4 linked regions of the Elephas maximus indicus genome follow. The protein of the gene in region 1 purifies or fractionates together with the protein of each later gene. This does not show direct contact. Links are inferred from orthologs where the notes say so. Each region holds a gene or a part of one and is shown on either strand. Other genes may lie near its edges. The genes, in order: LARP7, NAT10, SF3B1 and YTHDC2.

Region 1 (7,285 bases):
AAAAAGTAACGTAAGATATGGTACAATTTAGCTTCTCTAGTGATGCAATGGTTAAAGCACTCTGATGCTAATGGAAACGGTTAGAACCCACCAGCTGTTCCTCAGGAGTAAAGACTTGGCAATCTGCTCCTGTAAAGACTACAGCTTAGGAAACCCTACGGGGCAGTTTAACTCTGTCATATAGGGTCGCTATGAGTCAGAATCAACTCCACGGCAGTGAGGTTTTTTTTGTTTTAATTTTTTTGAGTCAGAATCAACTCAATGGCACAGAACAACATAATGACTAAAGAAGATCAGCAAGTTACAAGGCAGTATTTTTATTACAGTCTCAGTCCGTAAAGTCTGTATTTTCTCAATGTTCTGTGATAACAAATGTGTGAATTGTCATTCAGGGCTAAATAAACTTACTATCTTCCCTCCCCTGGCCTAGTTCTCCTTCCACCATTTTCATCTTGTTTAAAGATGCTCTATTCTACTGAGCTAACCAATCTACCTATTTACTAGTTGTGTGAATCTTAGGCAAGCTTGCCCAAGTTACCTCATCTCTCTGTGGTCTATAAAATGGGGATAAACATCATTCTTACCCAACAGGGTTGTTATGAGGATCAAAAAAAAGCAGAGCACTACAAATTGCTGTTAAGTAGTATGCACTCAACACATTATCATTTACCAGTGTGTCTCTACATCCTGTCAATTCAACCTCTGAAATGGTTCTCATCTCCATTTAGTGCTCTCCATTACTACTGTCACTATATGGTAGGGGGACAATTCACATAAATTGCTCTAGAAGTCATCCATCCTTCTGCAACTTGTCTAAGACACAGATCTGATTTGGTGTCTGCTGGTTCTTTGTTGTCAACCTCAAGTCAAAACTTTCCACAACAGAAATTCCTTAGCACTTTCCTGTGATCTAATTTTTCTTTTTTTTTGAACTAATGACATTGGACTGGCTTCTAAACAGGGACTTTAAACAAACAATAAAACGTTACTCTGTAACAATGCCCCCAACCCATTGCCTCTAGTTGATTCCAACTCATAGCAACCTTATAGGGCAGAGTAGGGTTTCAAAGTCCCATATTTTCCAAGAAGCAGCTGGTGGATTCGAACTGCCAACCTTTTTATAACCTCCTCTAATTTACCAAAATGCATTCTATGTTCTAATCCAGGGATTCTTAACCCGAAGTCCATGGAACTTAAAATGGATTTTAGGAAGTATTGTGAACCCCAAGTAAAAAAAAAAAGTAAAAATCATGATTTTTGTAAAAGTACGACATAAACATAAATACATGTCAAAGACTGTACTTCAATAATTAAATGGGGAACCAAAAACGAACATAACAAAGATTGTACTTCAATAATCAATGCGGGAACAAAAAACGAACAAAAAAAAAAAAAGCTCACTACTGTCGAGTCAATTCCCACTTATAACAAGCTTATAGGACAGAGCAGAACTGCCCCATAGGGTTTCCAAGGAGCGACTGGTGAATTTGGACTGCTGGCCTTTTGGTTAGCATCGGAGCTCTTAATCACTTCAAAACCAGGCTCCAAAGAGGGAACTAGGTGTTAAAAATCAGTTCAAATGAGAATTAAAGAGCAGACACATATATAGGTAATTAGGAATGATGAAATTAATTTTGTAATAGATGCAAAACTGATCAGGGCAATAATTACATCTTCACTGGACAACACTAATTTGCATAATCAGTTTTCTACAACTTACATACTAGTAAAACAGTTCAATGACAATGAAACGCAAAGGTGGAGCATGAGCTAAACAGGCACTCAGGGATTTTTTTTTTTGGCATTTCAAAGTTTTAAAATTTTTCCTCACAAAATTATATGCAAAGTGTTTTCAAATGTAAACATGCACTTTTCCTGGGGTGCTTATTCATAGCTTTTACCACATTTTCATAAGCACTGTTGTGCCAACAAAAGTTAAGGATCGTTGTTCCAGTAACAATGGTCCCTGAACATTTTCTTGCCTCTGTGCCTTTGCTGAAATGAGTCTTCTGGTCTGTCTTGCCTTATAAAACCCCTGATTCAACTTCCAAGTCCCAGATAAAATGTCATCTTTCTCTCTACGATCTTACATCACCACTTCTTCCCTAGCTGACTGCTTCCTCATCTGCTTACCCTAAGTATATTTATTAGCATTCAGTACACTGTACTTAGTCCTTGGGTGGCTTAACCTGTTAAGTGCTGACTACTAACCGACAGCTTGGCCATTCAAAATCCAGCCAGAGACCTCGGAAGTCAGGCCTGATGATCTAATTCCAAAAAGTCACAGCCTTGAAAACCGTATGGAGCATTCCTACTCCGCACACGAGGATGCCGCGAGTCGGAATCCACTCAAGAGCAACTAACACACTATTTTCGTAACTAGACGTTCAACTGTTCGGGAACGAGACTGTTGCTGTTACGTGCCATCAGTCGGTTCCGACTCATAGCAAATCACTACATTCTCTATGCTTTGACAGCCGATGGTCAACCCCAGTCTCCCCAAATAGGCACTTTCCTTATTGCTACATCCTCTCTCGGCATCCGTACTTCCTCAAGGATGCTGCCAAAGGAGAGGCGTGCCCCAAACCTCCCAATGGCGGACCATATGCGCCCTCTCGCTCTGAAAACTGGAACTACAAGGCTAGCCAGAGGACTTTCGCGCACGCGCACAAAGAAGTACAACAAGGGCACTAAGACTGGGTTCGTGGGAGGGGGCGGGGTGATTAGGATGACAGATAGAATGGACTGCACGAAAAAGGACTGAGAGGAAATTAGACCTCACCCAACCTGAGCAATCCTATAGGCCACTTGTCACTTACTCGGTTCAGTTCCCCAAACACAGGGACACAGACTGCGTCCTTCAGCCTTTGCCGCCTTCCGATCCTTATAGTCGCGCTTCTTTTCGCGTCATAGCGTGAGCGACACCGTTCTCCAGCTCCCCTCGAGAAAGGCCGGCCCTGAGCCTGTGCGCCCGTCGTTACGTCACAGGCTTGGGCTGGCTGCCGTCGGGCGGGGCATCGGAAGGCGCGGCCGGCTGAGGAGCTTCGTAGCCATTGAAGAATTTGATTGGCAGTTTGAAAAAGGCGGTTCTGGTTGAGGTGGAGGTGGGCGGGCTAAGTAGTGGGTCCTGATCTGGTGTGGTCCCCGGTTAATTACGTCACACTCTTTCGCGGGAGAAATTCGAAAGTGGATTTGTGCAATGGGACAGGTGAAGTGAGCTGTTTCCTGGGGTTTTCGGGCAAGGAGGAGTGGATAGACAGGACGACTTAAGCGAGAGGCTGCATGGCTGTTTTGGGACGAAGGGACGAAAGAATCTGCTCCGCAAGGGGCAGACCGAGAAGGAAGCTGTTCGGGGGTGGGTGACAGGCACAGCTTGCTCGGATTGCCTCTAATAATTGGTGTCTCGACTTCACCGCTTTTGCCAGCCCTACTTTGCAATTTCTGTGAGGACCGGGGAGGGTTTTGGTGGTTGTTTTTAGGACGGACAATGTAATGGGTCAAGCCTTCATTGTCATCTGTGAACTATTTAGGGTGTCCATGGAAACCCTGGTGGTGTAGTGGTTAAGTGCTACGGCTGGTAACCAAGGGGTCGGCAGTTCGAATCCGCCAGGCGCCCCTTGGAAACTCTATCGGGCAGTTCTACTCTGTCCTGTAGGGTCGCCATGAGTCGGAATCGACTCGACGGCAGTGGGTTTGGTTTTTTGGTTTTATAGATCCTGCAGGCAACCTTTTGCATGTATCAAAAGAAAAAGCCCAAGAGTATCTCGTAATTATCAGGAAAATTGGCTCATATTTAACTGAGAACACCGAATTGACACATATATACACGTATATCAATTAATATGTGTGTATATGATTGTGTACCTGTATGTGTATATGCATGCCTGTACATATGTAATTACCACGGAACACCTGGAGCTCTCCACACCACTTAAAAAAATTTATTTGCAAAGTAATTTTTCACCCACTAGAGATGGGCCAGCACTTGAAGTGTCTGACAGCTGTGTATTGATTACCACTTTGTGAAATTTTTTTATCCTTGCATCTCACATGAATATATGATGCTGTAGTATAAAATAATTTTTCTCATTTAATGGTAGGAAAGGGGTGTTTACTGAATGTAGGTATTAGAGCTCTTTTAAATATTTTCTAATCTAATTATCCTTTTTTCCTGAGTTTTAATCCTACAATCTCATTTACTATTTGTAAGAGTTTTTTTTAACCTTCTTTTAAAATTGTAAATCCCAGAAGAAATTTCACTAATTTGGGAAAACAATGGAAAGTTTATCTTACATTTCCTAAATATTGTGTAAGTAACCCTAAATTAGTAAATGCTGGATTCCTAATCTTTAAATCATAGTGGCAATATCACAGTACCTACTCTTCAGGATTATGAGACTGATAAATATTGCATGTAAAGTATCTAGCCTAATCCCTGCCTGACACACAGTAGCGACATGATAAATAGCCCTATAGTATAGCATTTGTGAGTACGAGCGCTAGAGTTTAGGCTACTTGGTTTTGAATTCTGACTCTGCCATTTATTTACTTCAGTAGTTACTTAACTATTATGTACCTCAGTTTCTTTTTTTGTAAAATGGAGATAAAAGTAATACCTACACCAAAAATGTTGTAAGCATTGAAAGCATTTTTAGCAGTGTCTAGCATATACTTGCACTGAATATTATTATTATTAAAGAGATCTAAGATTAATAATTGCCTCATGGTGGGCACAGTGCCTACACTAAATAGTCTCATCTACATACACAGAATGTCTAGCCCATTCAGTGGCTGGGAGCAAGTAGCTGTAAAAGCGCCAGCTAGTAAGTGTTTCTCTGTATCTCTCTATTATTTTCATAGTACTCTGGCAATTCTTGTGAGCTAAAGGGAAGGGATATAGGAATGTGGGAGTTATAGCTTTGAAAGGCAGTGCCTCTAAGTCCTGTCCTGTGACCTGTGTCTTCAGGTAAGTATTCATACCTCATTTGGCTACCTCTTACTCCATTCTTTCTTCACATGTCAGCCAATGTGATCTTTGTAAAACCCAAATTAGATTATGTCATTTTATTTGTTACATCCTGCCATGGTTTCCCATTATTGTCATAAACCAAAAACCAAACCCATTGCTGTTGAGTCAATTCCGAATCATAGCAACCCCACAGGACAGAGTAGAACTGCCCCATAGAGTTTCCAGGGAGCACTTGGTGGATTCAAACTGTCAACCTTTTGGTTAGCAGCTGTAGCTCTTTAATTTTATTGTGCTTTAAGTGAAAGTTTACATCAGTTTCTCATGCAAAAACTTACACACACATGGTTATGTGACCCTAGTTTCTCTCCCTATGATGTGACAGCACATTCCTCCTTTCTTCCCTGTATTTTCTGTGTCCATTCAACCAGCTCCTGTCCCCCTCTGCCTTCTCATCTTACCTCCGGACAGGATCTGCCCACTTAATCTCATGTGTCTACTTAACCTAAGAAGCACACTCCTCACCAGTATTATTTTATGTCTTATAGTCCAGTCTCTGTCTGAAGGTTTGGCAGCTGTGGCTCTTAACCACTATGCCACCAGGGTTTCTATGGCATAGTGGTTAAGAGCTACGGCTGCTAACCAAAAGGTAGGCAGTTTGAAGCAACCAGATGCTCCTTGGGGCAGTTCAACTCTGTCCTGTAGTGTTGCTATGAGTTGGAATCGACTCGACGGCAGTGGGTCATTACTGTCATAGAAAGTCCAAACTCCTCAGCAGGACATATAAGGCCTTCTGAATCCTATTATTATTTACCTTGTCACTTCTTATCCAACCACTCACTCTTCACTTGACCTCTTTATCATACTATTTAGAGTTCCTTGATTATGCTTTACTGCGTTGCCCTCATCCCTTTGCACATATCAAATTCCCTTCTGGAAAGTACGCCTCTGGCATGTTATGGTTAATGGTTATTTGTAGGTACAGCTTAGACATTGCCTCCTTTTGGACCAAGTTTGGTGCCCCTCCTGTACTTATTCCTGTCATATCTTGTTGTAAATACTGCTTATTACCCTGCTGTATTGAAAATTCTTTGAGATCGGCAAAAGTATTATGTTCATTTTTGCATCTCAGCCTAGCACATCGTAAACCAAAAAATCAAACCAAACCTGTTGCTGTCTAGTCAGTTCTGACTCATTGTGACCCTGTGTGCTACAAAGTAGAACACCGTAGGATCTTTTGGATGTAATCCTTATGGAAGCAGATTGACAGGCATTTCTTTCATGGTGCCACTGGATGGGTTAGAACTGACAACCTTTAGGTTAGTAGTCGAGTGCAAACAGCTTGTGTCACTCAGGGACCTCTGGCACATAGTAAGTACTGAACAAATATATGTAATTTATAAATAATATACATTGTTATATGCCATCAAGTCAATTACAACTCAATGACCCTGTGTGGCAGTAGAACTGCCTCATAGGATTTCCTAGGCTGCAATCTTTATGTGAACAGATCACCAGGTCTTTTCTCCTGTGGAGTGGCTGGTGAGTTTGAACCATCAACCGTTTGCTTATCAGCTGAGCACTTAACCACTGCGCCACCAGAACTTCTTAAATAATATATATAGGTGGCATATTTTATGTATTTTATATGGATAAAAAAGGAACTGAACCCACAATCTCAAATTATACCTTTACTGGATCCTCATAGGACTTTAAAGCCTGGGTTCTCCAAACTGCATCATGCAACATCATTGTCTGGAGGGCTTGTTAAAACACAGACTACTGGGCCCCTACCTCAGATCTTCTGATTCGTTTGGTCAAGGATGGGGCCTGAGAATTGGCATTTCTAACAGGTTCCCAGACGATGATGCTAGTCCAGGGACCATACCTTCGGAACCACTGCTTTTGAGGGAAAAAAGAAAAAAAATGTTTCTTTGTTATGTCTATTAATTTTTTCAAGTCACCCTGAGTAATGTGATTTTAAGATTTTCAAATTCGCACACAGAACAGTTTCATCCAATATCATAGGATAGCTACATACCCATTACAACAGTTTTAAGAAAGATTTTTCTTTGCAGAAGTATTATACTGCCTATTTAGTGCTAGATACTGTTGCCATGAGTCAGAATCAACTCAGTGGCAACGGTTTTGTTTTTTTACTGTGATATGGACTTTAAAAAGCAAAAGAAAAAAAAATTAAAACTCAAGGGGGCCATCTTGTGGTGACCATAGCAATTCTTAAAAAATTTAATGAGCGTGTAAGGAACCAAACCTGTGGTAGAAAATCATATTTTCTGATACATGCTATGCTATGACACA
Region 2 (6,886 bases), on another chromosome or scaffold:
GAAATCAGCCTCACGTTGAAAATTAGGAAACTGAGGTTTGGGAGGTGAAGAAAACACTTCTTCAGCCTAGGAAGTCGGCAGGGAAACTGGAATTCACAACTCTACTGAGAAGTTAAAAAAATCGGAAACTTAAACATCAAAAAATATGTATATGTAGGAGAACGACTTAAATGTATAATGGTATATCCATGAAATAATAACGGGCAGTTATTCCAAAAACTACCTAAAAATATTATATAGATGCTTAGAGAAAACAACACAGCAAGAGAAAGTATGATACTTTTTTTTTATATACATATATATACAATATACAGAGAAAAAAAAAACTGTATAAAAATGCCACAATGTTGTTATTTCCAGATGGTGGGATTGCAAGTGATTTTTATTTGTTCTTTTGGTTTTTTAATTCATGTTATTAACAAAATTAGGAGAAAAAAAGCAAAGACTATTTCTGTGATGAAATGTGTTTCACTGTTTCTTCAAGAGAGGGAAAACCTAATAAAGACTCATACAAACAAATCTCTAAAGTTAAGTGATTATACAAAAAAAAAAACTGCACAATTACTATAATAAGTACACCAAAGAGACATCAAGAAATCAATTCTATTACTGCAATATAAAGGTAAACATAATACACTTCTTAAAACTTACAATTCCTGCTGCATTCTAAGTGTTGTTGGGTACCACTGAGTCAATTCCAACTCATAGCAACCCCATGTGACAGAGCAGAACTGCCCCATAGGGTTTTCTACGCTGTAATCTTTATGAGAGCAGAGGTCTTTCTGCTGAGGAGCTGCTGGGTGGGTTTGAACTGCCAACTTTTCAGTTAGCAGTTGACCACTTAACCTAAACCTTAACCTTAACCATACCTTAAGTGTCCCCTGTAGCCTCCCAATCCAAGTATAAATCTTTAGCAGCTCTGTCTTTACTAGAAAACACTATGTCACCACCAACAGTCCCTGCTTTATCAGGAAAGATTCAAGTATAAAGAATTCAAGCATCACAAGGCAGACAAGTGATGGAGACAGAATCACACTCAGGTATGCCTGACTTCAAAGCCCGAGCTCTTTCCTGTTCACCACTTTGTCCTGCTTGGAGATCTTGTGTTGAGGGCCACAAAAAGATTCCACAAAACTCAGTCAACACCTCATTACAGAGGACTGCTTTTTGCTCTAGTTGCTGTGCTTCAGAAGCAGTACCAGATAAGGTCCTTAGCTTCAAGGTACTTTCATTCTCCTTGGAGAAGGTATTTAAGAGAAAGAGATGAGAGACAACTGAAGACACATAAAATAAGATGTAAAAATAATAGCTACAGCCAGCGGTCTGATGAAGGAGAGATTAGTGTGGATGGAGTTGCCATGGAAGGCTTAACGAACAAGGAGGGCCTTGAAGTAGAGGAACGATGATTATTTCTCCTTCACTCATCTATCGTTTAACAAATACAGATGACACACCAGTCTAGAAGTACTAGTAAACAATCTTGAATGTGACTACTGAAAAAATGATATAAAGAACAAGCGGAGTAGCAAAGGGCGCGAAATCAACAGACCGCCTCAGTTCAACGTCCAGCGCTGCAACTAGGAACTGTTGGAACGCTCCGCGGAGGGCGAAGTGCTGTCACCCACCTACCTCGCTCCTCCAGCTAATGATCCCTTAAGGATAGGATTCTAGCAGCGCTGCCTCCCCACCCCCACCCTCGAGCGACAATCAGCCCGCCCGAGAGTGGCTACACTTTGGGGAAGAAGGGATCCTGTCATCTGGAAGCGCCCGATGGTCGGCGTTGGCCGATGCTCGGATACAGGCTTCGTCCTCGGGACGGTTCTCTCCCGGCTGCGGGAGGACACGGACGCCGACCTCGGCACCCCTCCCCAACCTTCCCGTGATGGGGTACCTGAGGCTGCAGCCCAGAGGATCCTAGTCAGCGGCGAAGCGGAAGCACGTGAGAGCAGTGCAGCCCCAGAAGTGAGGAGGGTTAGCGGATGCCCGGCCGCCTGCTCTCGGATGTCAAGAGCGACGAACATTCAGCTCAGGCGTTGGAAGGCAGTAAAAGCACGCGAGGTAACACGCGGAGAGCGAAAGGGACCTTCCTCGAACCCTGTCGCAGAGTGATGACGTCAGAAACCAGCGAGACGCTTCTGCCACGCAACTCCCGCTTTGCAGTTTGGGCCACTTCTCGCGATAGCTGTGGTGCCGAGGCAACTTGTGTCTTTAGTGTGTCATTCCTAACTAAACCAAAAAAAATCTGTTGCTGTCGAGTGATTCTGATTCATACAGACACTACAGGGCCGAGTAGAACCGCCCCATGGGTTTCCTAAGCTAATCTTTACAGAAGCAAACCGCCACATCTTTCTCCCACGGGGCGGCTGATGGGTTCAAGTCTCCAACCTTTCCGTTAGCGGCCAAGAGCTTTAACCACTGTACCACCATGGCGCCTTATACCCTAGCTACTAAGGGCAAAACACAGATGTGAAATTTAGATTTATCTTCCGCATCCCAAAGCATGTCGTTGTGCTGGGGCTAGTGTGGGTGTCCTGACACGGTTGGGTGCAGCACCCGCTTCTTGTGACCCAGGGTTTCACTGTTAACCTCATTGTGCGAGACGACTGGCTCCAAAAATATGTGCACCATTTTTTGATCCCCTTATTTCACCTCCCATTGTGACGTGAGATACGGAAACTCATTGATTTCACCTGATCCTCCCTCTACCCCGCAATATTGACACCTTGTGGAACCGTCTGGAATTCGTAGTTTTCCATCCATTACAGCTGCTATACTTTGCACGCTTTCCTTAGAACTCAAACTGGCCCTCAAATGACGCGATTCCTCTGAAAGCCAGCTCTGGGGGTATTCCGTTGTACAATTACTTTCCCCAGGCAAACTCGTTGAAGCCCTTGACTCAAAGTGCCTCCAACACATATTCTGTACTTTTACATTTTTGTCTTCGTCAGATTACTCAACTTCAGTTACACATATCCAACTGCTTGGATACTTCAAACTCATAATGTACAAATAAATTCATTTTCCCCCCTCATCCCTGTAAACCCCTTCCCCAACCACCCACACCCCTAACTCTTCATGTATTTGTGGCCACCACTCATCTAGTCCAACTCCGTTATCAAACTCTTTTCTAATCAATTGTCAGTATGCCAGATACTATTTTGTCCACGAGATAGTGACCAAAATGTCCCCGCCCCACCCCATACTAGGTTTACATGGTCCTACTTTTAAATGCTATTAACCAAGTACCAAGTAAAATGCGAGATTCTGCAGAGGGGCAAGAAAGGCCCCCAAGATGGTGACAACGGAGCAAAAGACCTCAATGAATAAAGGAGCCCCAAGAATATTTGAGTGAAAAGCCTTCAAGGCTTAACAGACATATGACAAAGGCCAAGATGGGAAAAATCTTAACAATGCAGCCAGTGCAGCCACAGTCCAGTGAGCAAAAGGGAAAAGGGCAGAAAATTAGGCCACATAATACAAGGCTTTCTTGAACACAGATCGAGAACTTATTCTAGATTTGATGGAAAACCACTGGCGTTCAGGGAGCAGGTGTGACAAGACCTAATTAGCCCTCTTTTAAAAAGCTTGCTCTGGCTGTGGTATAAAAACTACACTACAGAAGGGTAAAAGTAGGAGCAGGGAGAACCAGAACCATTTTAAGTTATTGCAGTTATCTGTTCTAGGATGGTAATGCTGTCTGGCAGTCACAAGTGCTACATGACACCCCATGTATTTTAAAGGTAGAACCATGTGCTTTTGATGGCAGATTAGATACAGGGTATGAGAAAATCAGTTTCAATCTGACATCCTCGAACATTCTGATCAAGATGTTGACTCTGGAGTTCAGGGCCTAGAAATATTTAGAAGTTGCTAAAATGCTAACGAATTCAAAGCCATGGGATTGGATGACATCACCTAGACAAGTCTGACAACCCAGACGTTAAGAATTCAAAGGATAATGAGCAGTGGCCAGGTTTGAGGCAATTTGTAGAATCCATTCACCCCACCCTACCCATTTGTGTTATAAGCATCTCACATGGGCTTCACTGCAACAGCCTCCCTACAACTCCTACCCATACACTCAGTTCTCAACACTACACCATGTTTTTTAACGGCAATTTTATTAGGTAACCCATCAACTTCCCACCCGCCACAGCTTAAAAACCTTCGTTTCCAATTGTTAAGCGACAAAACTTAACATGGAATGTAAAACATAAAGCCCCGATTGCAGGCCTTACCTGTTTCTCCAGCCTGTTTATAATCTTTACTTTCTTTCCACTTGGGCCAAGTAGCCTTCCCAGTCACTGGAGATAAGACCTTTGGACATGTTCTTCTCTTCCCCTCTTTGCTTAGTTTATTACATCTCTCCTTCAAGTCTTAGCTCAATTATCCCTTTCGACCAAGTCTTTCCTGATCATTTTAACATTGTGGTCTGTAATGTCATGGCCTTCACATCTATCATAAACCATTTTTTGTGTCACCAGTATCTCTGAGCAGGAACCACCGTGATTTTGTCCACTCAATGTCTAGCACTGAGCCTGACTGGCAAATAGATAGCCAAAATTGTTTAAGTCTTAGTGGTTCATTACAAAAGTTCCCGAATATAAACACTAGAAAGAAAACCAGTACTTAGAAAAAAGGAATATACTAAAAACTTGACCACATCAGGGACAAATCCCTGATCTTTCACAGCCTACACTCAAAAAGCAGGCTGCTACGTGGACTGGATTGGGCTTCAGAACAGTTTAAGAAGATATTAAAATCCTGACTGAGAGAATGTAGTAGGAGCCTAACTTTCTCTTGAGACTAGGCTACCAAACAGATTTCTTTAATCCTTTTCTTCCCCCCTCAAAAGTAATATTACTTCTTAAGACATTTGCTGGTTGGTTGGTATACACAATTGAAACAGCCCTCTCTCAAGGACAATAAGGAATCAGATTTTAACATGATTTAATGTAATGCGCGAGTCCTGGTGGTGCAGTGGTTAACAGCTCGGCAGCTAACCAAAAGGTCGGCAGTTTGAATCTACCGGACGCTCTTTGGGAACAGTATGAGGCTGTTCTACTCTGTCCTATGGGGTTGCTAGGAGTTGGAATCAACTTGATGGCCAACAGGTTTGGTTTTATATGGGGGGTTTAATCTAATGTGATTTAAAAAATTGACTAGTTTTTTCCAATACTTCTGCAGAATTCAAAATGTGAAAAGACACAGAGATGAGTCTTAACAACTTAAAATCATTTTCCTAAGCTTTCTTTCCTTTTCCATTCTATATAAGGGAAAAGCTCAAGGGCAATACTGATTCTTTACAATTTATAGTTTTTAAAACAAAGTGCTTAGTAAGAACTCAAGTGGCATGTGGATCAGGAGCTTAAAGATGAAGTAAAAGGTTTGAAGTTAGTGCTTACCTGCATCCCATTTTCCCTAATACTGATATGTTCTTGAAAAAATAGTAAACAACCCAAAAAATGTTAAGACACTTAGGAGGCCACCTGCTCCACTACCTTCTACATTTTATGAATTGGTTGTCAACTGCATCTCAGTTAATGAGCCTTCTGAGAAGCAGCCCACATTCTCTTGTCTCCTCTAAATGGGAAAAGTCTCCATGCAAAAGAGCTGCATGTGTAAGAAGACAAAAGAACTATATATGCTAATACATTTTAAGGGTATTTAGTTTAATAACAAGATATATTAACTGGAAAAAAAAACTTATATTCTTAGGAATATTAAACAAAAACCAAACCCATTGCCTTCAAGTCGATTCCAATTCATAGCGACTCTACAGGACACAGTAGGACTCCTCCAGAGTTTCCAAGGAGTGCCAGGTGGGTCCGAACTGCCAACCTTTTGGTTAGCAGCTGTAGCTCTTAACCACTACGCCACCAAGGTTTAGGATCTGGAAATAAAACGGTCCTAACCAAGATAAATGATGACGTCCTATCCTAAATTTTAAAAAAGAAATTCATTACCCATGTGAGATGATTGATACTGTGCGTCTATAAAAGTCTTCTGTATGGGGAGTCTTACTACAAGAAGAAGCTACACAGACATGTGTGACAATTACTCCCTTACAATTCTGCTAAAATATGTATTTGATCAAACAAAGGCTCTCTGCATCTAGGATGAGCACTCACATATTATAAAGGACACTTAATACCAAGACTCACATCTTGATGAGATAAAAAGTTCTCTGCTCCATAATGAGGCACTTCTTTAAAAAATATAGTCTGAATTGAGACATAAAAGCTTTACATTTAGACTATGATGACAGAATGCAAAAAAAGTATACTATTTGAAAAAGAACACTTCTTTTAAAAATTCACATAGAAATAAATCAATTAGCTACTAAACTTTTACACATTCACATCTTCACTAAGGTACAGAAGTTTGAAAGCTGGAAGGAATTTCTTCCCATCCCACCTTGAAACTGATTCATAAAGAACGTCACTATATGAAGAACTTATTTACTTCAACTTTGTAATGTTAAATGTAATTATTTTCTACACAGACAATTAGCATAACATCAACTAGAGATTACCTACTAAACTACAAATATTTTATCCGCCCCCCTAAAATACAGCTAATACATGGTTGTGGTACATCCCAGGCAGATGTCATATAAAGCACGCAAGGGGAGGTGCTAGCAAAAGAAATACTCATTTACAAAAGTAAACAGAAAACCCTTCCAATATGATGTACCACAACCACACAAGAAAAGTCAAGAACTTATTTTATTTTAAAATAAACATTGAAAGATCTGCCCCCAACTCCCCTACAAAACTTTTGAATGTGGAACGTTCAACAGCCTATCATTTTAATAGGGTATAAAACCAGCAGAAACTCCAGTAGTCTAATGGTGAGTATATGAGAATAGTTTTGTCTTTTTAAA
Region 3 (7,775 bases), on another chromosome or scaffold:
CAGTTCAAACTTCTGAGAGAAGGAATCTTGGCTAAGCAAGTAACTTCTGTTGTCTGTGGGCAAGGTGTCCTGTATTCCAGGCCAGGTACTAGATACCTGGCTGGGTGCCTATCTCTCGTCCAAGGGAACAACTCAGAGCTGTTTCCCTGAGCAGAGACGTTGGTCAGGTTAGCCGAAACTAGAAGAAAAGTTAGACATTATAGGTGTATTGACGGACATATTAAGAACATTATCTCCAGGATTTTTTTTTAATAATTTTTATTGTGCTTTAAGTGAAAGTTTACAAATCAAGTCAGTCTGTCACATATAAGTTTATGCACACCTTACTACATACTCCCATTTACTCTCCCCCTAATGAGTCAGCACGCTCCCTCCTTCCAGTCTCTCCTTCCGTGACCGTTTTGCCAGTTTCTAACCCTCTCTACCCTCCCATCAGGACTTTTTTTTTTTAATATAGCTAAGAAATACCTTAACTTTTCAGAAATAAAACTCTAATTGTGGAATTTTAGGCATAATATAAAGGAAAATGGAAATATATTTTTGGCCTGGGGTGGACAGAGTATGATACCCCTTTGATATGAGACCCCTGGAAAACTCAACACTGCAGATCAAGATTGTGGCCACTTGTCTTGTGACAACCCTTTTTTCACCTGAGAAATTGTCACCTGGGTTCCTATAGAATGGAACTTGAAGGCCTTTAGAGTTTTATCTCCAAAGGTAATTTATGCGAGTTACAGCTAGCATTTAACATTTTGTAAAATTATTATACCTTGCTTTCTGTCTAGAGAAATTATATATCCTTGCTACTCTGCAATTTATGGAGCCCTGGTGGCACAGTGGTTAAGAGCTTGGCTGCTAACCAAAAGGCTGGCCGTTCAAATCCACCAACTGCTCCCTGGAAATCCTATGGGGCAGTTCTACTCTGTCTTGTTAGGGTCGCTGAGTCAGAACTGACTCAATGCCAACGGGGTTTTTTTTTTTTTGCTACATATATGTATAAAGTCAGCATCCAAGTACCCCTGACAAGAAATGGAAAGATTTAATTAGATGTTACCACTGTCAATTGTCTGTGTTATAAAAACAGGGACCAGGTCACCCCTCTGACTTTTGACATAAAAAACCTCACCCGAAGAGGTTTGGATTGAAGGGGGTAAGTAATGTCTCAGTATTATTTATTAATACTATAAAAAATAGGATGTAAAAGAGACTTGTTAAAAAAAAACAAACTTTGTTTTTTACTGCTGGAATGTCCAATTCACTCTTTTATTAAAGACTAGTAAAAAAAAGGGAGTCTCCCTTGATTTTTGGCAAATTCTCTCAAATCTCATTATCCTGTATATGTCCTTGCCCTGTGAAAGTAATTTAATACCTAGGAACCCATAGAAATACGTACATGATGTGGCCAGCAGGTTCAGTTTATCTCTGTCTTGGAAAGAGGAGGAGGGACGGTGAGACCACTTTGCAGCTGGTTGTCATATTTTTAAAACATATTTTTCTGGTTATAAAAATAATACATACTCATAGCCAAGTATCCGGAAAATACTATAAAGTATAAAGAAAAGATAAAAATCACCCATATTCCCATCATTCATAAACACTTATTGTTAACATTTTTAGTGAATTTCCTTTGCATATATTTTTTTACATGACTGAGCTCACCCTGTATATACAAATTTATTTTTTTTAAACATGACCCAAGAATGCAATGTCCTTGTGATTCTTTGCCAATATGAATTCTTTTAGTTTGTTGATTATTGATGAATAGTAACTCCCTTCTCCCATTCCTTATTTCTCATTCTTTTTCCTTTCATCATTTTAAAATATACTATAAATAAAAAAAAAATACATATATGATTTTTACTATTTTGTATATATAAAAGAATACATGGAACTTATGTGTAAGTTATAAAACATAATAATATAATGAATATTCATGGATCCTTCTGCCAACCCAAGAACTAAAATTTTGTCAATGATTTGTATTACAATCTACATTCTCTTCTCTTATCTCATGCCCCTTTCTCCCCCAACTATTGTTTAACCTAATAAAGAAATGCAAATTATACAACTGAATTTTTTTTTAATTCATCAAATTGATTTTTCACTGCTGCTAATAAAAAAGAGAAGAACACGCTCGGCATTTCTCAAGCTGAAATAACTGAAGAAAAAATTCAAGCCTTGAGTTGCAGTATGGGGAAAGTATCAAAAGACGTGGGAAGCATCGAAAGAAGATGGAAAGAATATAGAGTCATTATACCAAAAAGAATTGGTTGACATTCAACCATTTCAAGAGGTAGCATATGATCAGGAACCAGTGTACTGAAGGAAGGCGTCCAAGCTGCACTGAAGGCATTGGCAAAAAACAAGGCTCCAGGAACTGATGGAATATCAACTGAGATGTTTCAACAAACAGATGCAGCACTGGAACTGCTCACTTGTCTATGCCATGAAATTTGGAAGACAGCTATCTGGCCAACCAACTAGTAGAGATCCATATTTATGCCTATTCCTAAGAAAGGTGATCCAGCCGAAGGGGAAAATTATCAAACAATGTCATTAATGTCACACGCAAACAAAATTTTTGCTGAAGATCATTCAAAAGAGGCTGCAGCAGTATACTGACAGGGAACTGCCAGAAATTCAGGCCAGATTCAGAAGAGAATATGGAACCAGGGATATCATTGCTGATGTCAGATGGATGCTGGCTGAAAGAATAGAATAACCAGAATGATGTTTATCTGTTTCATTGACTATGCAAAGGCATTTGACTGTGTGGGTCATAACAAATTATGGATAACATTGTGAAAAATGGGAATTCCAGAACACTAATTTGAACCTGTACATAGATCAAGCAGCAGTTGTTCGACAGAACAAGGGGATACCACATGGTTTAAAGTCAGGAAAGGTGTGTGTTAGGGTTGTGTCCTTTCACCATACCTATTCAATCTGTATGCTGAGCAAATAATCCGAGAAGGTGTACAATATGAAGAACAGGGCATCAAGATTGGAAGAAGACTCATTAACCACCTGTGTTATGCAGATGACACAACCTTGCTTGTTCAAAGTGAAGAGGACTTGAAGCACTTACTGATGAAGATCAAAGACTACAGCCTTTAGTATGGATTACACCTCAACATAAACAACCCACCCCCCACAACTGGACCAATAAGCCACATCATGATAAATGGAGAAAATACGTAAGTTGTCAAGGATTTCATTTTACTTGTATCCACAATCAACACCCATAGAAACGGCAGTCAAGAAATCAAAAGACTCATTGCATTGGGCAAATCTGCTGCAAAGGACCTTTTTACAGTGTTGAAAATCAAAGATGTCACCTTGAAGACTAAGGTGCACCTGACCTAAGCCATGGTATTTTCAATCGCATCATATACATGCAAAAGCTGGACAATGAGTAAGAAAGACCAAAGAACTGACAGCTTTGAATTGTGGTGTTGGAGAATATTGAATATACCATGGCCTGTCAAAAGAATGAACAAATCTATCTTGGAAGAAGTACCAGAATGCTCCTTAGAAGCACGGATGGCAAGACTGCATCTTACATACTTTGGACATGTTGTCAGCAGGGATCAGACACTGGAAAGGACATCATGCTTGGTAAACTACAGGGTCAGCGGAAAAGAGGAAGACCCTCGACAAGACGGATTGACACAGTGGCTACAACAATGGGCTCAAGCATAACATCGATTGTGAGCATGGCGCAGGACCTGGCACGAGTCAGAACCGACTTGATGGCACCTAACAACAACCAAAACAAAAATGCACTTTTTCTGTTACTAATGCTTTTCTAAATATGAGTTGTGAATCGATCACACGTCAAGGTACACTCTTTCCTTTTTGATGGCTCTAACCTCCATCGTTGTTTTCCTAAGCTGCTTCCTGGACCACACTTCCCTTTGAGATCTGTTCTTTTTCAACTCTGAAGTCCTAGGCAAATGTGAGAGTTTATGATATTATATTGATGCATAGGAAAAAAAGGCGGCGGTACTCTCATTGACTAAAATTCCTAATGTAGGAAGGATGTTTAAAATTTAGAGACGCATTTTATAGTGTTTACTGCTGACGGTCAGTGGTTTTCTAAGAACCCATAAAGTTAAGTCAGGGGGGCAACGGTCCTGCTGTGCAACTTAAAAACCGTGAGACCTTAAACAATTTATACATGTTCTCCCTAGTTTTTCTCTCATTTCTTAATTAGGATTAGCAACAACTTTACTTACTGGGCTATTTATGAGATTCAATAATGTTTGGGTACTTTATGTTGTAAACAAAACCCTTACACAAATGATAGGCAATTACCAAAGGAAAAAAATGACTTTGAATTACAGCGCGAAGGATGAGGCTGTTTTGACTATCTCCATAACTAAGCATTGCAAGTACAGACATGCTAAAGAACACTTCTCTGGCTCTGACACACCTTCCGGTGAATTTGGAAAAAGGGGATTGAAGACCTGCTGAAGTTTCTCCCAGCCCCGAAACCGTAATTTACCGTACAGTGTCTGTTCTAAACTGTCCTCGTGAAAGCCACGTTCTCCAAGGCAAAATTACACACTTAAGGGCGCTAGGGCTCACCCGGTTCCCGTCTGAGTCAACAAGTAAGCCACATCAGCCTCCAGCCCTAGCTCCTCCCATACCCACAATTCACCTTGCTTTTCCAGCTAGATGGCTGTTCTGTCACGTGTCACCCACGGAGCGCGCTCCCGTTTTGCGCCTGCGCAGAGAGCAGCTCCAGCTGTTTTTCTCCGTGGCGGCGGCGGCGGCGAGCGGAAGTTCTTAGGAGCGCCAGTTCCGTCTGTGTGTTCGAGTGGGTAAAATGGCGAAGATTGCAAAGACTCACGAAGGTAGGGATCTTCCTCTGCTTAAGTGTCTTCTCTGTTGCCCAGGCTGCTAAGACTCTGTCTTCTTAGGTTTTTGCCTCTTCCTGTGTGTTTTTTTCGTTGGGGTCCTAGCCCGTGCTTCGAGGCCTGCGTCGTCGCCTTGGCGCCAGCGGCGCAGGCCACTGCCCCATGTAATGGCGTCTTACTCATACACCCCCGACAGGCGCTTTGTTCCGTGCTTGGGTACTGTTGCTTCCCTTCTCCGACCAGAGGGCCTTGTTTAAACTGCTTGCTAAAGAGGATTCCAGCGCAAGGGGTTGGGGAAACGGGTGTGGGAGGAAAGTCTCAGTCGTTTCTGGGAACTGTTGTCGGAATAGTTTGTACATAAGAAAGTCAGAAAGGCACTGAAATACGGCAACTGCTTTTCGGCAGCACTATATCGGGTTTGGTTGAACAGAGGCCCACTACTCCCAACCTTGAGTAATATGTGTCTTCAGGTGTCTGGGTTACTTGTTTTTGTTGCACGACATGATTTGGGTGTAAAATTTTTCTCAGTCACTTTTAGCATAGTAGTGCTGTTTTTCTTTGGAGCTGGCTATTGGAGAAGCAGGTAGAAGGAGGTGAGGGCACATTAATGTTATCGATGCTCGAAGCGTTCAAACTAGTTGATCGTTTTATGGAATACAGAGCACATTATACGAAATTTACGGACATGTTGGGAATAGGCTGAAGTCTACTAAGGAGTATTAAGAGCGGGCCCAGAGGTGATAGGAAATGGGGGTCCCTTTTCAGAAAAGATGAAGCGTGGTAAGTTAGAACTGCATTCCTTGATATCTGATGTGAAATCCAAAATCTTCACTGAACACAATTCCAAGAGAAAGAGTTACTTTTATTTCACGTACCATCCATGTTCTTTATGTGTGGCTCGGTGTTATTCTGTGAGGGGTAACAAAGAATGCCGAAACCAAAACTAGACACACTGCAGCCTAGTCAATTTCGAGTCATAGCCACTCCATAGGATTTCCAAGACTGTAATCTTTAGGGAAGCAGACTGCCACCGTTTTTCTCCCGCGTAGTGGTTGCTGGTTTGAACCATCAGCCTTTCGGTTAGCAGACCAAAGAATATAAGGTCACAGATTTTATTCTTTAACGGCGGAAATAGATGTATATACATTCTCTTAGGCCAAACGAGTGCTTAGATAGAAGTAAAAGCAGTATGTTTCAGGAGTCTTCGGAACGGAGTGATTAATTTATATTTAGGGTTATTTCACAGAGGCGATGACATGTCCCTGGTCGGAAAAGATCAATCAGTTTTCAACTAGGGGAGAATATCTGAGCCTGAGAGAGCATTTTGTAACAAGGTAGTGTGAGCTGTGAAAGTTAACGGCGTGTTTGAGCAGTCTGCTGTGGCAGGAAAAGAGGGTGCAAACAGGGAAATAGTAGAAGATGAATCTGGGAAGGTAGGTTGGGACTAGAGTGTGGATAGAATGGTTGGGCCAACCCGAGGTCCAGGTCTCTGCAATTTAAGAGGCTTGCTAATGAATTGTCAATGACTTTATTATTATTTTTGTTGGGTGTATAGGATTTAAACACTGCCTTAATCCAGACGTGTCCTTAAGTACTTTTCCTCTTGGTTTTAGAGTATATCAAACATAGCTTTTGTTAAATAATTAGAAAATGTAAATATGTTGCCATTCTTATTCATGCAGGAGTAGATTATTCCCTTGGCCCATTTTGTGGCTTTGATGAGTTGTTTATTGGTATCGTCATCATAAGAGAACCTTTGACAGGAACATCAATAAAGTCCTAACTTTTTCCCGCATTTTAGAAACCCAGCTAAAAGCGTTGGTTGATAGAAGATTGCAATTTATTGGTCAGAATTACTATTTGGGGTTATTCTATCAATGTGAATTAACTGATGACACAAAGAATGTGTTAGAACATTCAGTGTACAAGGCCCTGCCCATCTCTGTGCAGTATAAAAAATGAAGATGGACCTCCTGCTGTCAAGGAGCTTATATAATAGGGGAAACATCTGCATATGATTAAAAGAAGACCAAAAAAAAAAAAAACGCAAAACCATTGCTGTGGAGTCGATTCAGACTCATAGAGACCCTATAGGACAGAGTAGAACGGCCTCATAGAGTTTCCAAAGAGTGGCTGGTGGATTCAAACTGCTCACCAAAAGCTGAGATCTTAACCACTGAACCACCAGGGCTCCTGAAAGAAGACAGAGTGATAAATACTTAATAGAAATACCCGCCCCCCCCAAAAAAACACACCAAACCCGTTGCCATCCAGTTGATTGCAGCTCATAGCCACCCTATAGGATGGAGTAGAACTGCCCCATAGGGTTTTCAGGAAGTACCTGGTGGATTCGAACTGCCAGCCTTTTGGTTAGCAGCCAAACTTTTAACCACCGTGCCACCAGGGTTTCCAACTTTTACTTAGGATATTGTATTAAGGCTTTCTCTTCCACTTGATTGAAGTAGTTTCATATAGGAACTGTACCTTGGTATGTCCAGTACCTAGTACCTAATGGGTGCTCACGTATTTAATCAATATTTATTAAGAGATTAATTTATACTGGACTTAATTAAGAGAGCTTTATAGAAAGGGTGCACTTAAACTGACCTTTGAAGGAATTAGGTAGGTTTGGACATGTTTGGCTGAGATAGATGCAGGACTTATTCATTATTGGGAACCTCCTGAACTGAGAGGAAGAAATGTTAGGTTAGCATCAGCTTATGGAAGGCTTGAAACAGGGTGGTAAGTTTGAGCTTGGCTTCCAAATGTCTGCAGAATAAAGTGCCTGTCTTCCTTCCCCTAGGTGGTCAAAACAATTAACCGGCTCAGTTGCTAACTGAAAGGTTGGAAGTTTGAGTGCACCCAGAGGTGTCTAGGAGGAAAGGGCTGGTGATCTACTGCTCAAAAATGAGC
Region 4 (7,731 bases), on another chromosome or scaffold:
CCCTTGGGTCACAGCATTGCAGGAGGGTGTGATTTAAGTCCCACCCTTACTCAAGTTATGCCCTTCCATGTGGTGTGGCCCGCCTCTAAGGTATATGCGTGGATGCCCTGGCAGGGCTCTCTCTCTGTGCCTCAGGATCCCATGATTGATTGACTTCTGCTTCTTGGGACTGGCGCCAGAGGTCTGCAATCTGACTTGCCAATTCTAGGATTCGCGGGCCTCTGCAGCCCCATGGGCTGGTGGCGTATTGTGACCTGATTGTCAACTTCTGCAACCTTGTGAGCTAGCAGCCTGTGGTCTGAACTTCTGGTTTGAGTTCATCAGCCCCTGCAGCCACATGGGTTGGGAGAGGCCTACTCCTGACCCACAGATTTGGGACCTGCCAGCCTCTACAACTGCATGAGCTATTTCCTGTACACAGGTTGTGAGTTCTGTGAGACGCTGCAGCAAATCAGCGAACCCAAAGATGGGAGGGAGGGTACTGAGAGGAAAGAAAGTAGTCGATGTTATAGATGATAGAGTAGTATAGCAGTCTGGAAAAGTTGCCCAATTGGGACATCTTTAACCTCTACCTCATAGGAACCAGCTTTGTGCTGATCTTATAAATTATTTGTTTACCAGACCAAACTGTAATAGTGACAATATTGAGAAACTCTGTTCTTTATCAATCTCACAATCTCTATTCCCAAAATGAAACAGCTCCACAGAATTTTAGAGTTCTTAAATTTGGATGGCTCAAATGACTTTTTCCCCTATTGGTCAGTGAAACACACACACACTACATAGTTTCTTCCTGCTCCATTTAACCATTTCTAATCATCAGATTCTTCACTTCTCGGTAGGAAAGAAAACAATAAGAATTTGATCTAAAGCTTATAATTACAGAGATAAGCTCTATAAATAACTGTACTTAGTATCATTTTTCCATTCATTCTTTAAAAAATAGGTACTTTATTTCTATTAAAAAAGAAAACATTTTTCTCAAGCAATCAACTTCAAGTTTTAAACTATTTTTTCTTACACGTTAAAACTTAGCTTTTTTTTTTTTTGCCGCAGGGCTAGGGAGCACAGGAGGAAGAGATGTCAACTGAGTACAGATCTGATAGTCTATCTACATGCAGGTAATTAACAATGTGAATCTAAAACAATAATAACTATTTAAGTGTAGTCAGAAACATTTTCCCTTTTTTTTGCAAATAATCTTTTCCTTTTTAAATAAAGAGAGTTATCAGCTTACCCTTTACTTTTAGAGACCAAACCAAGAGACTGACTCAATCGATGAATAAAGGCTCTTTCAGTACTGGTCAAAGAAGAAGGAAATTCCATTTCTATATGGAAAAAGACATAAAATCGTCAGTACCACTTCTGGATAGGCAACCTTCTTTCAAGGTGCTTCAATACACACATATATGCAAAATATGAAATAAAAAATCACAAGCATATAATCATATTTATTCTTACTAAATTTATGATATGTAGATATATTTTTTTTAGATATTAACTCAATAACTACTAAATGTCTACCAGAATTTTCATATTAATAAAATGTCATCTAAGTATTAGACCTAAATGTGATAAAGAACTCTGATGTTCATCAAACAGTACTCCTATTTGTGCTGCAATCTTGACTTGGTATAATGGCTAATGGACATATTTTACTACCTTAACTTAGTCCTCACTTGTTTAACAAAATGTTAACTTCCATCAACGATGAGGTATGCTCAACCATTATGAAAGCTCAACATCAAACTCAATTTGCTTTGCTTTTGAAACTTCAGAGAATTCATATTTCAATATTTCAGGCTGAATTTTGTAGTTATATATTGCTCAGGTTTTACATTTGTTTGATGTAAGTTCAGAATCACTCTGTTCAGGTCATTCTGTTTTGGACCATAAGCTTCCAGAGTTAGGGGGTCCTCTTTTTAACCCAGCGACTCAGGATGAACACTGAATATACATCGTACAGTTCACCACAGGTCGGCTGCTGGTTCTGCATTTGGTGACCCAAGACAAGCAGCTTTCTAACCTTAAGAGACACGGAAGATGCTTCACATGCCGCAACAGGTTTAACTTTTTTCAATGTTTATAACGCTCCTAGGATTTGAACAAAGCACCACATATTGCCAATGTATTTATGTTTGATTTCCTTCTATTCTTCTACTTTTATAGGTTAAACACGACTCTGATAAGACTACAATCTTTTACTTAAAAAAAAAAAAGATATCAAATACCAGTACCTAAAAGACAGTGGCTTAGCCTCTCCACGGAGAAAGAAATGCCTCTGTCACGGGTAACAACCTGACCTTTTCGCCTTCTGACGCCAGGCAAAGTGCCCCATAACCCTACCGATCCGAGGGACACTGTTCGGTCCTACACATCCCACCCGAGGGCGAGGACCGCGGTCCCAGCCCCCGGCCCGCCTCTGAGGCCGCAAGGAGTAGGAAGGTCGCCGGCTCACTCGGGTGGGTTAGGGTGTGCGGCCCAGGTCCTCTCTCCTTCTCTGAGGTGGAGGGGGCAGCCCGCTCACTCCGAAGGTCCGAGTTTGGGGGAACGCCAGCCGGCGGGGTCCCTGTCAGGAACCTCACCTCTCTGGTCCCCGTACCGGAATCGCTCCAGGGCGATATTGACTGCTATCTTCACCTCCTCGTCGATACGAATGTCCTTCAGCCCCCTGGCCCGGCCACCGCCCCCGAGGCCACACTGCGCTGGGCCGCCCCCTCCACCGCCGCTTCCGCCTCCACCGCCCCCGCCGGGAGCTGGGGGCCGCGGAGAGACGCTACTCGGCCTGGACATGGTCCTGAGGAGATGTTCTCCCCGCAGGAGAGCGGCCCAGACCTGAAGGCTGGCGGCCAATGCCGGGGCAGTGGTCCCCGAAGGCCACTGCTAGGACCTGACGGCTCGGCAGGTAGCCTGGGCTGTGTCGGGGTCACAGCAAAGCCCCTCAGTCACCAGAAAAGGCGAGGAAGCGCCCGCGCCACTAGAGCCTCAGCGAGCTCCAAAGCGCAGGCGTGGTGACGTCACCAGGGCCGCCGGCGCCCGTGACCTCAGCTGGGCGCCGCGCCGCGCCTCGCAACCGGTGCTCACCAAGCAGATACTTTATGTCTTCTCCCTCCTTTCTGTCACGAGTCTCGTTCGTTCTTTTATCGTCACTCATCATTTGGTTTCATCCTTTATTAATTCATTAAATAAACATGTATGGGCTCCCACTATATGCCTGCCACTATGCTTGTTGTTAAATGCAGTCAATCCGTTCCGACTCCTAACAGCCCTCTGTTCATGAACGAAACACTGCCTGGTCCTGTGCCATCCTCACAATCGTTATCCTTAACCCCACTGTTGTAGCCAGTGTGTCAATCCATTTCATTGAGCTTCTTCCTCTTTTGGCTGACCGTCTGCTTCACCAAGCATGATGTTCTTCTCCAGGGACTGATGCCTTCTAACGACATGTCCAAATACGTGAGACTAGTCTCGCCATAGTTGCTTATAGGGAGCGTTCTGTTTGTACTTCTTCCAAGACAGATTTATTCATTCTTTGGCAGCCTATTATTCTCCAATACCACAACTCAAAGGAATCAGTTCTTTGGTCTTCCTGATTCATCGTTTGGCTTTCACATGCATATGAGACGATTGAAAACGTCATGGCTTGGGTCAGGCACACATTAGTCTTCAAGGTGACATCATTGCTTTTCAACACTTTAATGAGATCTTTTGCAGCAGATTTGCCAAATGCGATGCATCTTTTGATTTTCTGACTGCTGCTTCCATGGGTGTTAATTGTGGATCCAAGTAAAATGAAACCCTTGACAACTTCAACCTTTTCTCCATTTAACATGATGTGGCTTTTTGGTCCAGTTGTGAGGATTTTTGTTTTCTTTATGTTGAGGTGTAATCCGTACTGAAAGCTGTGGGCTTTGATCTTCATCAGTAAGTGCTTCAAGTCCTCTTTCAGCAAGTAAGGTTGTCATCTGCATATCGCATGTTATTAATGAATCTTCCTCCAATCCTGATGCCACGTTCTTCTTCATATAATCCAGTTTCTCGGATTATTTGGTCAGCATACAGATTGAATAGGTATGGTACAAGGATACAACCTTGACACACACCTTTCCTGACTTTAAACCAAGCAGCATCCCCTTGTTCATTACAAACAACTGCCTATTGATCTATGTACAGGTTCCTTTGAGCACAATTAAATGTTATAGAATTTCCATTCTCTGCACTGTTATCCATGATTTGCTATGATCCACACAGTCAAATGCCTTTGCATAGTCAATAAAACACAGGCAAACATCTTTCTGGTATTCTCTGCTTTCAGCCAAGGTCCATCTGACATCAGCAATGATATCCCTGGTTCCGTGTCTTCTGAATCCAGCTTGAATTTCTGGCCATTCCCCGTAGATACACTGCTGCAGCCACTTTTGAATGATCTTCAGCAAAATTTTATTTGTGTGTGATATTAATGATATTGTTCAATAATTTCTGCTTTCGGTAGGATCACCTTTCTTGGGAATAGCCATAAATATGGGTCTTTTCCAGTCTGTTGGCCAGGTAACTGTCTTCCAAATTTCTTGTCCTAGAGGAGTGAGCACTTTCATGGCTGTATCCGTTTGTCAAAACACCTCAATTGGTATTCTGTCAATTTTGGAGCTTTGTTTTTCACCAATGCTTTCAGTGCAACTTGGACTTCTTCCTTCAGTACTATTGGTTCCTGATCACATGATACCTCCTGAAATGGTTGAATGTCAACCAATTCTTTTCGGTACACTGACTCTGTGTATTGCTAGTCCCTTGATATACTTTGGGGAACAAGATAGACAAGGTTCCTGGTCTCGTGGAATTTACATTCTAGTGTGTGTAGGGTTGCCAGATTTAGCAAATAAAAATACAGAATACCCAGTTAATTTGAATTTTAGGTAATAAGGAATACTTTTTTAGCACAAGAATCTCCTATGCAATATTTTGGGCATACATATACTAAAAAATTATTTGTTGTGTATCTGAAATTCAAATTTAGGTGGTCATCTATATTTTATCTGGCAACCCTAAGTGGGGAGGAGAGGCAACAAGTTTGGTAGATGATTAAATGGTAGTAATAAGTGCTATATAATGTGATGGAATGGGCCCCTTTAATTTGAAAGATCAGGGAAGGGTAAGAGAACTTTCTCTTGCTTATATACAATCCCACTAACATAAACCCAATCCTAGCCACCGTGGTTGCTTCCTATCATCCAATCTCCAGAGAGCAACCAAAGTGATCTTTTAAGTTCATAAACTAGTTAGGATTGCACCTCTACCACAGCCCTCCAATGGCTCCTCGTTGCAACTAGAACAGTCAATTCCATATTACGACCCTAAGTGATCGGACCTTGCCTACCTTCATGATCTTATCTCCCACCACTCTCACCCTCACTTTAAATCCTCAGATGTAATAATATTTTTCTGTCTCTTGAACACATCAAGTTTGTTACCTTCTGAGGAATTTATACTTGCATAGTTTCCTACTGCACAGAGCAATCTTCCAGAACTTCACATGGACATCTCTTTCTTATCATCTAAGGAAGGACCCCATCCTTTACCTAGATAACCTCTCTCACCTCAGTCTGTTATCATCTGCCACTGTTTGAAAATATTCATTCATTTATTATTTGCTATTATCACTAGGATATAAGCTCCTTAAGAGCAGAGACCTTGTATACCTTGTTTGCCATTATTTCATCCACACCTAGAAATATAGGAATGCTGTAAATATGTATTAGTTGGCCATATTTTAGAATCTAGAATTAGGATTGGTCATCTCTGCCCTCAGAAAACTTTAATCATAATCTCTGAACTCCTAATATCTTTTGTCTACTAATAGAAACAGTACTGAATGAGCAGGTCCTCCTCATGGCCCTGGCATGGTCACTGTGATCGTTTACATTGAGTGTCAAATTGGTTGGGCCATGAATCTGGGTGGTTTGGCAGTTATGATATAGTTTGTCATTCATATAATGATGTGATCACCTGCGTGATGAGATTTGATACAATGTGATCACCTCCATGATGGGATCTGCTGTGAGTAGCCAATCAGTCGAAAGGGAGTTTCTTTGGGAGTGTAAACTGCATCTAATATAAGTGGACTTTCTGGCAAGGCTCATGGGCTTTTGCTCGCACTGGATCGTGTGCTGGCTTCTTTTAATCTGACCTCTGGCTCTTGGGATTTGAGCTAGCAGTTTAACTACTGTCTTGCCTGCCCATCTTTGGATTCATCGGTCTTCACAGCCTATGAACCAAAGCCCTGCTGTCTGACTTGCCAATCCTGGTTTCCCCAGCCCCTGCAGCTACATGAATCAGGAGAAGCCTCCAGCCTGACCTGAATTCCAGCCTCTACAACTACGTGAGCCATTTCCTTAATATAAATGTCTCTATATTATTTTTTATATATGTATTTATGTGCTTTATTGGTTTTGCTTCTTTAGAGAACCCAGCCTAAGACAGTCTCCAATGAACTGGGTGAACATTTATTACTACCTTGATCTCAGTAGATCATAATTTCCTTAGCTATGCAATAATAAAACCCTCAATGGGGACATTGTCTTTATTTTCCCTAATCTCCATGTGGAGTAGTTCTATTAGTATATTTAAACCATATGAAGTACCGAGTTCTATAAAAAACCACGTGAAGTAGTTCTATTACCCATGACACAAATGAGGAAACTGAGACTAAAAGAGATTAAAAAATTGCCCCAACACCATGCTGTTGATAATTACTGGGGTAGGGATGGAAACTAGGCCAGCAAATCATGAAACCCATCTTCATTCTAGGACAAAACATAGAAAGTAGGTAATATCTAGATGCACCAAATGTGTTATGATAAAACTGAAAACATTTTGCATGGGGGTCAGACACATACTGCTATCAATCGCACACCATCTCCTCTTAGTTCCACCATTTATTGACCCCATCATTTATTAGCTTTGTGGCTTGAACTACCTAATTAGCCTCCCTGAGCTTCAATTTTCTCATCCTTAAATGGGTATATGTAAGACTAATTTTATAGCCTTGATGTGAATACAGCATATGTTAAGTACCTAGCTATCATTAGGTATTGAAATGCCTAAATGTTTGTATTCCTAGTGCCTAGCAATGGTATAGAATGTGTTTGAAATACACGAGAATAACGACTTGTCTAAAGCTACTTAGCAATAAGATACAATGTTTGTCAAATTCTACATTTTCTAATATTTTTATATGCCCATAGGAATTTCTAGGTGCTTAAAAGCAGAACACCGCAATTTTACTTTTTCCATGTGTTTCAGAGAAAAATTAAAAGGTAGGGGAGGTATAAAATATTTATAAAGGATTTCAAGTTATCTTTGTTTTTCCTATTTTATAGTTGTGTGGTCTAAAGCAAGGTATTTAACTATGCTATTATTTCCCCATGAGTAAAATGTATATGATAAAACACGTTCATCACAGTGTTATTATGGGGATTAATGTATATTAAATTACTTCATGCAGATAAAGTGCTTAGCAGAGTTCCAAGCTCATCCTTTACATTCAGTACTGGTTAAGATGCTTTGGCTTCAAGGAACAGAAAATCCAAGCAAAAGAGGCCCCAAATAGGGACATTTATCATCTTATATAACAAGAATGCACACAAATGTTTACAGCAGCTTTATATGTAATAGCCCAAAACTAGAAACAACCCAATGCCTTTCAACTGGTGAATGGTTAAACGAACTATGATA

The links.
Region 2: the proteins of LARP7 (region 1) and NAT10 purify together in Homo sapiens (affinity purification with mass spectrometry; 3 studies listed by BioGRID and IntAct, with this or other methods). This does not show direct contact. The link is inferred for Elephas maximus indicus from reciprocal best matches to the Homo sapiens genes LARP7 and NAT10.
Region 3: the proteins of LARP7 (region 1) and SF3B1 purify together in Homo sapiens (affinity purification with mass spectrometry; 4 studies listed by BioGRID and IntAct, with this or other methods). This does not show direct contact. The link is inferred for Elephas maximus indicus from reciprocal best matches to the Homo sapiens genes LARP7 and SF3B1.
Region 4: the proteins of LARP7 (region 1) and YTHDC2 purify together in Homo sapiens (affinity purification with mass spectrometry; 3 studies listed by BioGRID and IntAct, with this or other methods). This does not show direct contact. The link is inferred for Elephas maximus indicus from reciprocal best matches to the Homo sapiens genes LARP7 and YTHDC2.

The regions. Positions count from the first base shown.
Region 1 is NC_064823.1:37,905,246-37,912,530, forward strand, and holds the start of LARP7 (la-related protein 7), read right to left. Parts: upstream 3,006-7,285; 5' UTR 2,820-3,005; intron 1-2,819. UniProt on the Homo sapiens protein: RNA-binding protein that specifically binds distinct small nuclear RNA (snRNAs) and regulates their processing and function.
Region 2 is NC_064825.1:89,338,306-89,345,191, reverse strand, and holds the start of NAT10 (RNA cytidine acetyltransferase), read right to left. Parts: upstream 3,002-6,886; 5' UTR 1,892-3,001; intron 1-1,891. UniProt on the Homo sapiens protein: RNA cytidine acetyltransferase that catalyzes the formation of N(4)-acetylcytidine (ac4C) modification on mRNAs, 18S rRNA and tRNAs.
Region 3 is NC_064824.1:95,769,841-95,777,615, reverse strand, and holds the start of SF3B1 (splicing factor 3B subunit 1), read left to right. Parts: upstream 1-4,752; 5' UTR 4,753-4,831; coding exon 4,832-4,859; intron 4,860-7,775. UniProt on the Homo sapiens protein: Component of the 17S U2 SnRNP complex of the spliceosome, a large ribonucleoprotein complex that removes introns from transcribed pre-mRNAs.
Region 4 is NC_064820.1:123,199,292-123,207,022, reverse strand, and holds the start of YTHDC2 (3'-5' RNA helicase YTHDC2), read right to left. Parts: upstream 3,007-7,731; 5' UTR 2,794-3,006; coding exon 2,586-2,793; exon of another isoform or gene 2,238-2,585; intron 1,329-2,237; coding exon 1,238-1,328; intron 1-1,237. UniProt on the Homo sapiens protein: 3'-5' RNA helicase that plays a key role in the male and female germline by promoting transition from mitotic to meiotic divisions in stem cells.